Linked DNA regions of Saccharomyces cerevisiae S288C. The gene in region 1 interacts genetically with each later gene. Each region holds a gene or a part of one and is shown on either strand. Other genes may lie near its edges.

Region 1 (8,084 bases):
ATTTTGATATATTAGTTCATGACCTGAGAGATCGTGAGTTCTTCCCAAGTGGTGAACCCTCGACAAAGGAATCCAGAGCTCTTGATTTATTTGCTGGTGAAATGGAAAAGTTCGTCTCTAGCGGTAAGATAGAATTCCGCGAAGATTCTTTCTGGACCACGGAATTAGATTATTGGAATTTGGACGCAAACGAAACCAAATACCATGGATCCATTTTGCACAAAGATTTGCAAAAATCCAATTTGGTTATTTTTAAGGGTGATCTAAACTATAGAAAATTAACTGGCGACAGAAAATGGCCCCGCACCACTAAATGGGAAACGGCTATCGGACCTCTTGCTACGAATGGTATTACATCATTGAGCTTGAGAACCTGTAAAGCCGATGTACAAGTTGCTTTACCTGAAGGTCTAGACGCGAAATTAAGTCAAGAATGGGAAAAGGAAAATCCTGGCCGTGGTTCTTGGTGGTGTTGTAGCGGTAAATGGGCAGTCATTTGTTTCTGCTCTGGTATACATAAATAAGAATATGATAAGTTCTCTATATAACTTTACTTTATGACTTTCCCTATGAAATGTTCCAAAAAAGCACATAGATTTTTAGTACGTGCCTTTTATTTTATGTACTTCTGATAAAAAAAAGAAAGCTCCTAAGGACAAATTACAATCAATGGCGAAAGAAGAGGAAGAAAGTAATAACGAGGAGAGATCATAAACATGGCGTCAGTAACAGAACAATTCAACGATATTATTAGCTTATACTCAACAAAATTGGAACACACATCTTTGAGGCAAGATTCACCAGAGTACCAGGGATTATTACTTTCCACGATCAAGAAATTATTAAACTTAAAAACAGCAATTTTTGACAGGTTGGCATTGTTCAGTACTAATGAGACCATTGATGATGTGTCTACTGCTTCCATCAAATTTCTAGCAGTTGATTACTATTTAGGATTATTGATATCAAGACGACAGTCGAATGATTCGGATGTTGCTCAAAGGCAGTCTATGAAATTGATTTACCTGAAAAAAAGCGTTGAATCTTTCATTAATTTCCTGACACTATTGCAGGATTATAAGCTTCTAGATCCTTTGGTTGGTGAAAAACTAGGTAACTTCAAGGATCGTTATAACCCTCAGCTTAGCGAATTGTACGCGCAACCAAAAAATAACAAAGATTTATCTGGAGCACAGTTGAAGAGAAAAGAAAAGATTGAGCTATTCCAGCGCAATAAAGAAATTAGCACAAAACTGCACTGCTTGGAGTTGGAATTAAAAAACAACGACGAGGACCACGACCATGATGAATTACTAAGAGAACTATATTTGATGAGGTTACATCACTTTAGTCTTGATACGATTAACAACATTGAACAGAATTTATTTGAATGTGAAATGCTCTCTAATTTCCTCAAAAATTCCGTACATGAAGTCAAATCATCAGGTACTCAGATACGAAAAGAATCGAATGATGATGATTCCACTGGTTTTACCGATAAATTAGAGAATATAAATAAGCCATTGATAGACAAAAAAGGTCAAGTCTTGAGGAACTTCACGCTTGTCGACAAAAGGCAACAACTGCAACAAAAAGTGCGAGGATATGGTCAATATGGACCAACAATGTCGGTGGAGGAATTTTTAGATAAAGAGTTTGAAGAAGGTCGCGTTCTTCAAGGTGGCGAAGAACCAGAGCAAGCACCAGATGAAGAAAACATGGACTGGCAAGATAGAGAAACCTATAAAGCTCGTGAGTGGGACGAGTTCAAGGAAAGTCATGCTAAGGGAAGCGGAAATACCATGAATAGAGGATAGAAAAAAATACCTATATACGTACACATAAGTATCTATTAGACAGATTCATATATTATTTTTTTTTCTGCCTACATCAGTTATATTTTAATCTTGTGCAAAAGGACTTCGTTATTTTTATTCACGGTGATTAACACCGGCGTAGAATCTACAATCAGATTTGAAGAAAATACCACAGGCTCTTTTCTTTCCGAGAAGTTGATGTCTGCTACGACAAATTCGTCGATGGATGGTTTTAGGTTTTCTAAATTCCTAAACTCAAAGTCTCCATTACTATATGATACGGTGATTATGCTGTCGTTCAAATCGAGTTGTATTGGTAGTGTTGACGATGGAGTCAATTGTTCCTTCAGTACAACTTTTTTCTTATCAAAAGAATAAACCAATAATCTCTCATTGCTTAGCTGAATCAGTAGCTTAGAAGTTTTTCTATCCAAAAATAAATGGTAACCTTCTTCTTCTGGCTTACCCGATAATATTGTATCAATCTTCAAATCAATTTTTTGTAGAAGCTTACCCTCGAAATCATATATGGTAAGCTGGTATGGATTTGAAGACAGTAATATTAAGGATTTTTCTGTTATACCCAATATACAATCCAGAATGTTTGTGGAATCATTACTATCATCGTCATCATTATCATGTGTTATTTCATATGTTTCTTTTATGTTAATTGGGACATCCTCAGGAGCCTCTATATTGTCCAATTCCCAGATTCTAATTTGAGATTTATTCTTACTAGCTATCAACAACCATTTATTTTTGAAGTCTATATTAATGATATCACTAGACGAAAACGGCTGTTCTGAGTCTTGTAATAGGTCCACATCTGAGATCAAAGATGCGCTAGAAATAGAGAACAATTTCAAATGGAAACTCTTTTCAATAACAAGGAGTTTGGACGTCGAAACCCAGAAAAATTTCATAATGTCGCTATCTTGCCCTAAAGATATTTTCTTTAAGAGTTTGGAATTCAAGTTTGCGTCCACTTGGTGTATTTCTAACGATTTGGTGTCTGCATCATAAAGTGCCATACAGTCCCCGTAGGAGCTGATAATGTCGACTTTCGACAATTCCGAGTGTATCTTGGATATTGTTTCATTATTTTCACGCTTGTTGGCTGTGCTAAACAAAGATTTCACTTTGGTTGGTGATGGTGACTCTGAAGGACCTTGCTTTGGATTGGGTTTGGTGTCCAAGAGGGCATTATTTAAAATATCCATCCCATTTGTCTTCGCACTGCCCTCTTCCTTGGGAGTATTCACGTTCAGTTTCTCTAAATCGTGCAATTCAGAACCCGCTTCTCTGCTATTTAATGACTCTAACTGATTGACCGTGTTAGGGCCTTTCAACAAATAAATTATTTCCTTCACATTTTCTTGAACAGCTAGCTTAGACTGCAGTAATGAATCAGGCACATGTTTTTCTTCCTTTTCACCTTCAGGAGAAACAGCTTTCGATTGTATTTGATTCAATTGATGCTTCAAATCTCTATTTTCGCCCTCTAGTTCTGCAATTCTTGCTTTCATTTCCGACCTTTCTAGCTCCCAGGTGATTCTATCTCTTTCATTCTTCGTGAACTCCGTTTGCAAGTAGTGCATTACACCAGGTAACGTGTAATGCGGATGAACATGTGCCTGGTTAATAGCCATATTGTTTTCCGGTCTAACTACACGCACTTACTTCTTTTGGGTTTCTTTATTAATGTTGTTGCTTGCTCCTCACATTTAGTCGTTCTAGGTGGCTTTTATCTAAGATTACGCGACGGGGAAGATCGCAAAGTTAAGACCAATAGAGTACTATACCATATCCCAACAAAGAAGCCTAGGGGATGGTGCAGCAGTAAAAACTGAATAGACTATAATAGATCATCCTACGTAAAACCCGAATAGGTTATCTCTTAAACCTTGTTTTCCTGTAAAGTTGTCCCGCGCATGTGAAGACGCAGAGAGTGGAGATCAATCTTAAAACAACTGAAGCAACTAGCACTTTCTTGACATTTAATAAGGAACTATTATCGCGTAAACCAAAAGAAACGCATGTAAAACATCTGCAAGTTACTCCATCATCTGACACCTAGAGACGTACGTATCAGAACGATTTGAGTGGAGGGGTACAAAAAGGGACTCTGTAGATCAAAAACTGTAATATTATCCTTTTTTTTACTTTCTGAGAAGCTATTCGAAAACAAGGAGATAGAACTACAAGCAGTTATGAAGGACCTAAATCCAGAAATGGGGAAATTTGCTACCACTAAAGGCCCTCCTCAAGACAATAGAGGCATGGTTGATATAGCGACACTGCCTAATTTTCCTGCCAACCGTAGTGGGACTCCTCGTGAGGAGATGTATCTGGCGCCCAACAAGATGGAAACTCCAAGGATACTTAATATGAATATGGTACCGGATTATTTGCAAAAAGAGAACTTCTCGCCAGATTTTTCTTCTGCTACCGTATCTGCCAAGTCATCTCCTGTCAACGTTACTCATGATGAGTCGCTTCCTCTGGGAACTATTGAATCGAATAGCACAAAGGATTCTAAATATGCAGTTCAACGGCAACAGCAACAAGTGGTAGATTTCATAGAGAATAATATGCAGCTACTGTCTTCAGAAACACTAAATTTTAGATCAGACATTATGAAAACTTTGGAGCTTCCCATTCCCAAGAGAAGAGATATTAAGGGAAACCATCTATCTAAACTATTATTTGCTAAATCACCTCTAACTATCAACACATATTGCCAATTTTATGACCGTAGAACCAAGCGAATTTGCAATCAAGAAATGATATGGAAAGATAAGAACAGTAGAGAGAAGCATGGTTCTAGAAAGTATCAAAGACATTTGAGTAAAGTTCACGATGTCCAGCTAACACCAAATAATTTTACCGAATTTTTTGATCATAATTCTCCACTTTTCCAGGAATGCTATGACTATCAATCTAGATTGATGCGTGATTTACTTGTTGAACCAGATGCCAAATTCAAAGAGAAGAAAAAGAAGAAAAAAGGGGACGTCAACGGAAATCATCCTGAAACCGGATCGAGCCTCATCAACCACCAGGTCCAACAGCAAAATGTTCGAGAACTTCAATCGAAAATAGCCATGAACGACTTGATAGAGATTCTTATCGATTTAAACATTCCGTTTTCTGTTTTAGACTACCAACCAATGAGAAATTGGCTCATCAAATATTCAATAATTTCAACAGATACTTTGCCGGATGAAGTATACTTCAAAACTGATCCAGGCGTGAATGAACTGGAACACAACAGTAGTAATTTAAACAATAGCAATAGCGGTACTCCTCATAATCATAATCAAAACCAACATACCAATTAATTAAAACTTGCTTTTAATCTGCATACATAAAACTTAGATCAAATAAATAAAAAAAAAAGTAAAACAACCATATATACTATTTCATAAGCAAAAGTAATCAAATTAAACAAAAAAAAGAAAATACAAATATTAAATTTAAATTAAGGCAATAAACATATATTATACACATAAAAAGAATAATTAAAGCGCAGATGAGAACTATCTTAATTATCAAAATTCTGTAGTATCCCACTCAACTGTTCAATATCTTAGCCGCACCATTTCTTCGTTATCTAGGCTCACTAGCAATTATTTTTTCTCTTGATTACTAATTGCATCCTGATCGTCTTCGATCGAAGAACCCTGTGAAAAGCCACTAAATGTATGTTCCAAACTATCAGGGCTAACTCCCAATGATTTATTGTTTCCTGCTTTCTGTGAAACCGAGATTTCTTTTGAATGCTCCGCTGATTTACAATCATTAGCGTCTTCTTTTCCACTTGATTTATTTCCGATCGAAATTTTTTCTTCAGGTTCCTTTGTTTGAACAGCAGAACTAGTTTCGGTAGCTTCTTTTGCGGCAGTACTCACCGGAACCCCATCACCACCTGAATTTTTCGTTTCGGCTCCCACTATCTCTTCCTTCTTTAGTTCATCACCTTCCTCTATTTTTTCAAGTTGGGTTGGTAAATCTTCAACATTTTTCTCGACGGATTTGTTTTGTGTTAAATACTCCTCAGAAGTCATACCAATCAATTTTTTAACCTTCTCTTCGTCAATCTTATCATCGCCACGTGCAGAAGCAACATCTTTCATAGCTTCCAACAAATTTAGTTTTTCCTTCTTTAACTCGATTTCGGTCGCGTTCAACTCGCTCTTACGTTCGTTAATCAACGAATCCACTTCCAATTGCTTCAGACGGGCCTCCTTGGTTGATAACTCAGCCTGCTCTTTAGCCTTATTAGCAAGAATAATAACGTCATCATTCAAATGGGATTCCAAGCTTTCTTTAGTTTGACCTAGTTCCAGTAATTTGTCATCCTCTCTGATATTTCTATTCTTCTGGGCGTCAAGATCATTTCCGTAACCAGAGATCTTTCTTTTATGGTCAACTATAGCATCCTGCAATCTTGAGATTTCTGCGTTAATTTCATCGCGCTCTTCCACTAAAGTTTTGTGTTCCGCTTCTGCATTTGCCAGATCGTCATGGTAAGGTTTCAATAGTTCTTCTTGCTCTTTGCGCGCTTCAGTGATATCTTGTTCACATTTCTTACCCCATTCCTCCAAATCTTGATCTAGACGAGCTTTTTCGTCCTTTAACTCTTGCTGCATTTGCTTTTTAAATTCGATCTCTTTGCTCTTGGTATCTTCAAGCAGAGTTTCCCTTTCAGCGACTTTGGTATCCATTCTGGCCACAAGTGCATCAAAGCTGGCTTTAATCTTTTCCTGGGAGGTCTTTTTTTCGGTTTGATGCCTATTAGCCGTAGTAGTCAATACTTTGGCGTCATTAGAAATGATAGAACGTTCCATCGTTTCCCATTCATTTGATGATTTATTATAGGCCTCAGTTCTTTCTGCAATTTCTTCATCCATAGCACGTTGCGCCTCCGCCCTCTCACTCACTTCACCAAGTACAGGAGAAATCAATCCGGATGCGATTTTAGTGATATCTTCTGGTGACAAAAACAGGCCACCACCCATGTTAATCTTGTTATGGAATTCTGTCTTTTTCTGATGATTAGACTGTGCGACAGCGACAGCAGCTTTGTTGTATTCCATATTAGTGAATAGCTTTCTATGCATATCGCTTTTTTCAATGATATCCAATTGTCTGTCAACATTGGCTCTTGCCAAAGTCAAAACTTGCTGAGAAGTTAATTGGCTCAGATAGGTTTCCCTCTTCTGCGCCTTAAGAGCTATACTTTTGTCGATATCCTCACCAGGATGCATGTCTTTCACAGCATTAGCAGCTCCTAATGCAAATTTCATCGACTTGGCTTCTTTCTCAGCAGAAACTTTTTTGACCTTTTGTAAATCTTGTGCTTTTGGAGCATCAACTTTCGCCATAATGTTATTCATCATCTCATTGGAGAAACTGAATTGATTTAAATTACCATGCTCATCAGTCTTGACGCCGTATTGGAAGTTCGTCTTTTCCGGTTCCCATCTTTCCTTAATACGAGATTCTGCCTTTTTTTCAGCACCCACTAAGACTTTCTCCAAATTCAAAGTCTTTGGTTTAGGATTAACAGTACTGTTGAAACTGCCACTCGCGCCGCTTAACACAGAGCTGGCAGAGGTGATAGAATATGACCTGCTGTTTGTTTGAGAGCTTAAACTTGTAGTTTCCATTGTCATCGAATAAGCTTTCGATGCGGCGGCCCCTGGAGATTCTTTGGACTTTCTCTTCGTCTGAGATTCTTTTGAAGTTTTAGAAGTAGCAGAAGTTATTGAGTTGTTACGTACAACTTTGGGTCCCATTTTGGATGCAGCTTTAGTGGCATTAGGGTCAATAAACATACGTTTGTAAGCTTCTACCGTGGTTTGATTGTCATGAGCTAAATTAGCTGCCTTGTCGGAAGCTGCATGAGCGTCGCTGACGCCAATTGAGTAACTTTGGGCAGGTGACTGGTAAACCCCGTACTTCAACTTCGCCTTATATAAAGCCTCCCTGCTTAATGGTTCGCCTGTTGTCTGGTATACCTTTGGTTTTCTCAAAGATTTAGAGCCGTGTTTCAGCGACTTTTTCGACGAAGTTATAGACGAAGTCCTGCTCCCTCCACCAGAAGTCTTTCCTATATTATGTATGTCTCTATCTTCTACAGCTGAAATTAAAGACATTGGTTATTTTGCGTTGGTTCCCTATATGCAAAGCTATTTAACAACTAAAGACTGTGTAATCGTCAGAGTGCACTATTTTGCTTCTTTTCAAAGTAGCTGCCAAAGA
Region 2 (7,508 bases), on another chromosome or scaffold:
ACAATAAAATTCCAACAATTATCAACTAATTCGAACATCTCTTGACAATATACATTATTAATTTTTACATTTCGACTTTCTTTGAATTAGGGACTGTCTCTCAATTCATCTCTTTCTCATACAGAATATCACTTATCCTATATAACTTATATAAGATTAGAATCTAACTAGAGCGAGGAGAGCGGAAACTCGGATCAAAAGTGATTGTTTAAGTGTTTGTGCGTTTGTGCGGCTCATTAAGACAATAAGGTTTTGCTTTTGTATTCAATTTTGTGGGTTTTATAACGTATAAATGCGCTTCTTGAAAGCTTGTTAACGATTTTATCGTAAAGAAATAAATAAACTAAAGAATTGAGGAGACAATACTGTTTTGATAAATAAGCCCCAAAAATATTATAGGGCCGCAAGGAATAAATTTCATAATGCGCATATGCCCAGACTCCTCTGTTTCTTTCGAAGTTTTACACTAGACTTGAATTAAATAAAGTATTGGACATAAAACTCTCCGAATCATTGTTCGGGACGTTGTTCCCTTTAATTTTCATTTTCTCAATTTCATAAAGAGCCGCATCAATGCTATCGAAGTACGGAGAATATGTCTCTCCTGCATCACTAAATGTGTTGCTAGTATTATTTTCGTTGTTATTTGCTTGCGCTCTTTCCACACTAGCAGCTACACCTGCTTTGAATAATCGCCTTCTTACTTTGTCATTTATAGATACATTGACAAGGTAAATAAAGACATTGCGCCTCTTGTAACTAGTGATAATTTCCTCCAGCACTTGGGCGGCTGAAGAATCTATTGAGGTCATCCCACCTAAATCGAAAATGACATATTTTATGGAATCCTTCGAGCGAAGTGATTTCCTTCCAGGATGTATCTTAGACGAACCGTACCTCTCTATTCTGTCAAGTCTCTGTTTTAAATCTTCGCTGTTTGTAAATGTGAGAGGCTCAGGTATTCTAACAATCATGCATCCCTCGATTTCTTCTGTGCCCTCAACATCCAGAGAGTTCCTTTTCATGTTCATCATGTAGTCGTCAAGATTCGTAAAGTTCGACGTTCCCGCTACCCTAGCCAGAATTTGGATTCTTGACTTTGCTGAATGCTTTATAATATTTATAATTGAATAGACACATCCGATGCATATTCCTGCTTCGATTGAGTAAAATATTGTAGTGCAGAAGGTAACAGCAAAAACAAATAGTTCACTAAAGCCACCACATCGCAAATGGAACTTTATGTCGCCTGGCACTTCCTCTAATAAACTAATTCCGATGATGGTTGTTATGACGGATAAAACACAATTAGGAATATAATGTACGAATTGAAGAAGTAAATTCATTGTGATTAGGGTGATGACACCCATAAACACTCCCGACATTACGCTTTGTGCTCCTGATAGGGCGTTGATCTTGGATCTTCCATATCCGCCGAATGCGGGAAGAGCACCGAATAATGAGATGACAATATTCATGAATCCTAAAGCTACTAGTTCTCTATTAGAGGAAACGGTAAGATTGTAAGTTGTTCCAAGAGATTTCGACGCGGTCGTAGATTCAAAAAAACCCAACATTGCCACTATTAGAGATGCACTAAAAAGATCTGGTATTAGCTTACGTCTAGGACGAGTTAAAGGGTTTTTCAATTCATCAAAATTGTCCATGCTAAAGTCGCCAATGATAGAAATACCATATCTGTGTTTTAAATTAAATTTCATGGAAATAAGAATAGTAACAATTACCACCAATAATATATCTGGAAAAAATATTGCGCTCTTGTGATATTTCATTAATTTCCTCTTTAGTAGACGCGTTAAAAAGAGGACAATCAAGCAACATCCGCTGAATATTGCCGTTGGTATATGGTATTGTGCTGGTGCATAATCAATGAGGAAAAGTATTTTCTCGAAAGGGGTATGGTAGTGTTGAGGCAAGCTTACTAAAAATTTGTCTAGCTTTAATTCAGAAATCAAAGAGTTGATTATCATAACCAGTCCTACTGAACTTATGAAACCTCGTAGAAGTGCCTTGCTAAGAACATTTCCAAGGAAACCAAATCTGGAAATACCAGAAAAAAGTAGGATAGTGCCACTAACAAATGTTATTACTGTTGAAATATCAATTAGAGAAACATTTTCTTTATGTAGTGTTATAGATTCGACTGCTTGTCCCACGACCAAGGAAATTGCACTTTCGGGCCCAACTATCATCTGAGGAACAGAACCTAAAATACCATAGACAAATGGGCTAATAGCCAAAGAATATAGTCCGCATAAAGGTGGGACATGTGCAATTGAAGTTGTGTACGATAGCGCAAGTGGTATCTGAAATGACGCTACTGAGATACCTGCGATTACGTCGCCCCACAGTTTATTGAAAGTGTACTCAGGAAGCCATGAAAAGCAGGGCAGGTAATAAGGTAAAGTTTCAAACACTGTATTCTCATCAACGCTATCATTATTGTTCGTATTACTTGTATTACTTGTATTATTTGTATTATTTGTATTATTGGTGCATCCTGATCTTGAGTTGTTGGGTGGGGGTACCCCAGTAGTTGAATTAGATGCTGCAATATAGGTCCTGCCTCGATTGGATGAATCCTTATCATAATCAAAATTGTCCGAGAAAGTGTCACGCTGGTCGACTGATCTTTTGAATCTTGGTGGAGCGGTAGAGGAATATGACATCCTTCCACGCCCCAATAACGAATTATTTGATGTCATCCTATAATTGTTTCCGTAAGTTCTTGGAAATCACTAGGAAGTTTGTGGAGTTATTGTTCTCCTCATATTCTCCCATCTGGAAGAACTCTATTATTCCTTTGCCATTTCTCGTAGTCTTTTATATTTAGTCCGCTTTACACCGAAAAGGTCATTTTTAAAAAGGCAAGAGAACTAGGAAAAGTAAAACGTGCCCCCTTCAAAGCGAAGAGATGAATATATTTAGAAGTTAAGAATTTATTTATTTATATTTACCAAGTTTTTCAGTTAGTTCAGGGACTATTTTGTAAAGATCCCCTTGCAACCCATAGTCAGCGACATTAAATATAGGGGCATCAGGATCATTGTTAATGGCAACGATAACTTTCGAATCCTTCATTCCCGCTAAATGCTGAACTGCACCAGAAACGCCAATGGCTATATACAAATTTGGTGCGACTACCTTACCAGTCTGACCGATTTGTAGAGAATTATCACATAGTCCATTATCAACAGAAGCTCTTGTGGCACCTATAGCAGCGTGCAAAACATCTGCTAGCGGCGATAATAGCTTCTCAAATGTCTCCTTATCCTTGAGTGCCCTTCCACCAGTTACCACGTTCTGTGCAGAAGTAAGTTCAGGCCTTTCACTCTTGGTAAGAATAGTTTTAACCCAGGTAACATTTAAGTCACAAGGAGGAATATCAGTTCTCTTCTCAATGGTAACAGAATCCATACTACCCTCTGCAATTGGTGGAAAAGCTGATGCCCTAATAATCAACAGTTTTTTTTCTGCCTGGCATTCTATTGTAGAAATAATGTTACCTGCATAAATTGGCCTTATAAAGGTCTTAGGATCTTTGATTACAGTAACCTCACAAACAGGTTGGACGTCCAAGAGCGCACCCACCCGAGGTAAAACACTTTTTCCAACAGAGGAGTTTGAGACAACAAAATGTGAATAGTCGCCGCCTTTTAATAGTTTCACTAATAACGGAGTTAGTTGTTCGGGAAGACAGGTATCTAATTTTGAATCTTCAAATATGACAAGCTTTTCTAAATTGCTGCATGAATATGAAGATTTTAGCGCCTCAGCAGTTTTTTCAGCTTTGCTACCTGTGATTACAGCTGTGATAGGGTTAGACAACTTTTGTGCAGCAGCCAATAAACTCAATGATGACCTTGAAACAGAGCCATCTTTTGAGCTTTCAATGAAAGCTAAAGTGGAGGCGTAATTTTTCTGGAGGAACTTTGCCTTGCTAGCTCTAGGCAAGACAGCAGCCAATGATTTAAACATAGAAATTAACAATTAGCTGCTTTACCGTTAATGGTAGTAAATTATATCACTAGATTTTGTTTGTTGATTATTTTAATTGTTTTTAATTTTTAGTTAGTAGATTTTCGTTCGAGGCCCTAAAAATGTACCGAAAAGTCATAATAAACGGGCGGAGTCACATCGTAAGAGTAACATATACAATATGCGAGCAGACTTTGTCCATTAAGCCAAGTAACAACAAAAGAACCAAAAAAAGGAAAGTATCTCGTCTCTGTTGAGTAATTCTTATATCTTGCAAGATTTAATTCTCACTACTAATACGGAACTCAATCAAAGTGGCTTAATCCCAAGACATGCATTGAATACGGTATCATTGGCTGTTGACAGTTTAAGAAAAGTAGTTGTCACGTTCCTGAGGTTACTGGGGACAAGGGAAAGTAGATACTCGTCTTACGAAATTGGATATAGTTACTCTCTAATGCTCAATCCATGTAAAGCATGAATCATCTCAACAGAAAAATCTGGGAGAGCATATTTGCAACAAAAGAATCCAAATATCAGTATATAATTATATAAGTGAGCTAAGAAGTGAACAAAAGAAAAGGAAGAGGGGAAAAATTTTGGCTGGACTTGTAGAACGATAGAACGAAAGAGTCCAAGGGGGAAGTAATAAAGTTATTGAACGAAACAACAAAAATTCGATGGAGATATTAACAAATGCATAGCAGCGCAGCTAACCGACCCGAAGCTAGTACCAACGAATTTTTCAACTATTCTGTGTTGATTGTCTCCTTTGCAACACCGAGCTCTTCAGTATTCTCAGCTGAAAGTTATTATTGAAATCACGTTGGGGACTTTCATGATCTAGTGGTCTTGGTGAGTAGCATTTAATATTTTGACCATTGAAAGGGCATCTCTCAATTGGAGAAAGGCCACTCTTAGGGATAGGCGTTTTAACAATCTGTTTATGGGATGAATGATATATTTTTGAGGATGGATTCACGATACTGATATGTTTCCCGTCCGCATTATTCGGATATGTAGTGCCTTCTTTCGATAAAATAGATGCCAATCCTGGCGTATGCTTTGTTTCGATGACGGAGCTTACCAATTTTTCACTTCGTATTTTCGATGAGTTCTTATTTTTACATTTGACGTTCAATATTCCGACATACGTCTCTCTTTCTGAAATGTTGGAACTCTGTGGCCTTGGATTTGGTGTTTTTTCACCCGAAAAATTGTTGATAACTGCACTTTTCTTTGAGGTACTACTATTTATATCTTCCTGCTCTTTTGTTCCCCGCTTAAGATGTTTTGGATGGCAAGTTTCAATAAACTGCGGTTTTATTCCTGCTTCTGAAGAGGTGCCCGAGATGTGAACCTCATTTCCACCACTACCAGTATAAGTAAAGTAGTCCGTACCTTCTTTTCCAAAGTCATTTGAGGAATATACCAAAAAAACACCTTCCTTTACTTGAAAGCGATCCACGAATGGGAAAGTATCCCCTTCCGAAGTCACATCTGAGGGAACAAATTTTAAAACATATGAGATGTTGTTTTCATCCACGGCATCATAAAATTTACAGCAATTATTCTCATACATCAAGTTTTTGAGAGTGTAGTCATGCAATCCTAAATCTTTGAAATGCATCTGATCTATTTGTTTCTGTATTTCTCTTTTCTTGAGTTATATAAACGGAATGATTAGTAGTTTGGCAGAATTTATAGCAAGTATTAAATAGTTGAATACCTCAATATTCTCCATAATAAACGCCATATCGTACATAAAGGCTAAAACAAGAATGCCTGATACCGTTCTGCTTTTTGTTTTATCTTTCCCTATATTTTCTTTCCCTTTTGATGCTTTACGTAATTTTTCCCGGCATATGTGAGCTTCCTAATAGACTCTATTTTTATTTTTCCCTTTCAAAGTGCGAGAGAAATACACACAACCAGCCTACGCTTATTTTCACCCATACCGTCATACGCCATATGATATATAATGTGAAACAAACGCGGGGAAGAGCGCGACACGACAGCTTAGCAGGGGCATTCCACGCAACACCTGAAACTTTAAGTAAAACTGTTTCTGCGAGGATATCTTGGCAAAACAAACACTAACTTTCGAACTAAATATAGTGATCGTGGTCATAAATTAATAAAAAGAGGATAAATAGAGATAAAAGAGATATGTGACTAAGTTGCTGGCAATATGTATTATTTATACTTTTATCTTCTTGAAGCGTATTCAAAATTGCGTTTCGGTAAAGCTCTCACCAGATGTACTTAAAGTTTGGGATGAAGCACCGTTTTGGACAACTTTCATTAAGGAATCAACATATTCTGCACCAGACCATAGCTGGTGTGTCATGATATCACAATTAGTCTCCTTTTCCCGTTTTTGCACTTTTTCGACGTATGCTTTCATTCCGTCACTTTGGAAGCTATTGGCTAATTCCCAGAATGATACTCCATCTGAATGCAGACCGGCAAGGGAAACCAGTTGCAACGTGAAGCCTTCTTTTGCCAAGTCCCATACGAAGGATTTTAATGCCTTATCATCAAAGCCGTGAGCGCTCCAATTGAAACTAGGAGATAAGTTATATACTAGCTTGGTAGCTGGAAGTTGTTTATGAATTTTTCTTGAAAATGAGCGTGCCTGCTCCAGGTCAGGAGTTTTCGTTTCCAGCCAAATCATATCAGAATATGGGGCAAACACCAAAGATCTTCTAATAGCTGCTTCAATACAACCGTTAAACATGTAATATCCCTCTTTGGTCCTCGGAGCATCCCAGTCAAATATAATTTTCTTTAGTGGTGTCACTTCTTGAGCTAAAAGTTTCATTTCTCTTAAGCTTAGGTATGCTCTACCCAGCTTGTTTACCATAAGGTCTTCCTTCTTTTCTTTATAGCTTTCAAACTCGCTTGCCGTAAACTGCTTTTCTAAGGCCTCTTCAAATGTAAACAGCTCATTTTCATGGTACCATTCTTTTTCCATGTCAGCAATGGCGGAGTTGGGAATTTTTTTGTCCTCCATCTCAATCAATTTTTCGCTCCAAGGCACCACGTTATCTCTTATTATACCCCTAATGAATTCGTGGTCTCTCGGATCACTGCTTGAACTCAACAGCTTACCATTACAGGAATCTGTTCTTGCAATAACCAAATTTTCTGTCCCCATGATATCCCATTGAAACCTGGTGGAAATCAATCTCATAAGATGTGTTGCTGTGGGCACCAAAACAGCCCCACTTAGATGGCCACACCTTTTGCCTCCCACCATCTGATCTTCAAGATGAATACCAGCAGCCCCTTTCTCCGCAAACAACTTAGCAACTTTCATTACAGTCGTTGGGCCACCGTGACCCATGTCTGCGTCCGCGATAATTGGTTTTAAATAATCAACAGGAGTAGAACCTTTGATGGAGGCCTCCAAGAAAGCCTTTCGATCGTGCAATTGCTGCGCCTTGAATATTCTCTCCACTTGATTCGGCACAGTATCGTATGGATAATCGCCAAAATCCGGCGAT

The links.
Region 2: mutations in RSF1 (region 1) and AIM45 together harm fitness more than expected from each alone (negative genetic interaction), as found in Saccharomyces cerevisiae (2 studies listed by BioGRID).

What each region holds. Positions count from the first base shown.
Region 1 is NC_001145.3:326,766-334,849, forward strand, and holds RSF1 (Rsf1p), read left to right. Parts: upstream 1-4,027; coding exon 4,028-5,158; downstream 5,159-8,084. Other genes in the region: YMR027W (putative methyltransferase), read left to right, coding at 1-524; TAP42 (Tap42p), read left to right, coding at 717-1,817; FAR8 (Far8p), read right to left, coding at 1,895-3,466; EIS1 (Eis1p), read right to left, coding at 5,447-7,978. UniProt on the Saccharomyces cerevisiae protein: Mitochondrial and nuclear transcriptional activator required for respiratory growth.
Region 2 is NC_001148.4:561,043-568,550, forward strand, and holds AIM45 (Aim45p), read right to left. Parts: upstream 4,000-7,508; coding exon 2,965-3,999; downstream 1-2,964. Other genes in the region: YPR003C (uncharacterized protein), read right to left, coding at 462-2,726; HAL1 (Hal1p), read right to left, coding at 4,745-5,629; methylisocitrate lyase ICL2, read right to left, coding at 6,227-7,508. UniProt on the Saccharomyces cerevisiae protein: The electron transfer flavoprotein serves as a specific electron acceptor for several dehydrogenases, including five acyl-CoA dehydrogenases, glutaryl-CoA and sarcosine dehydrogenase.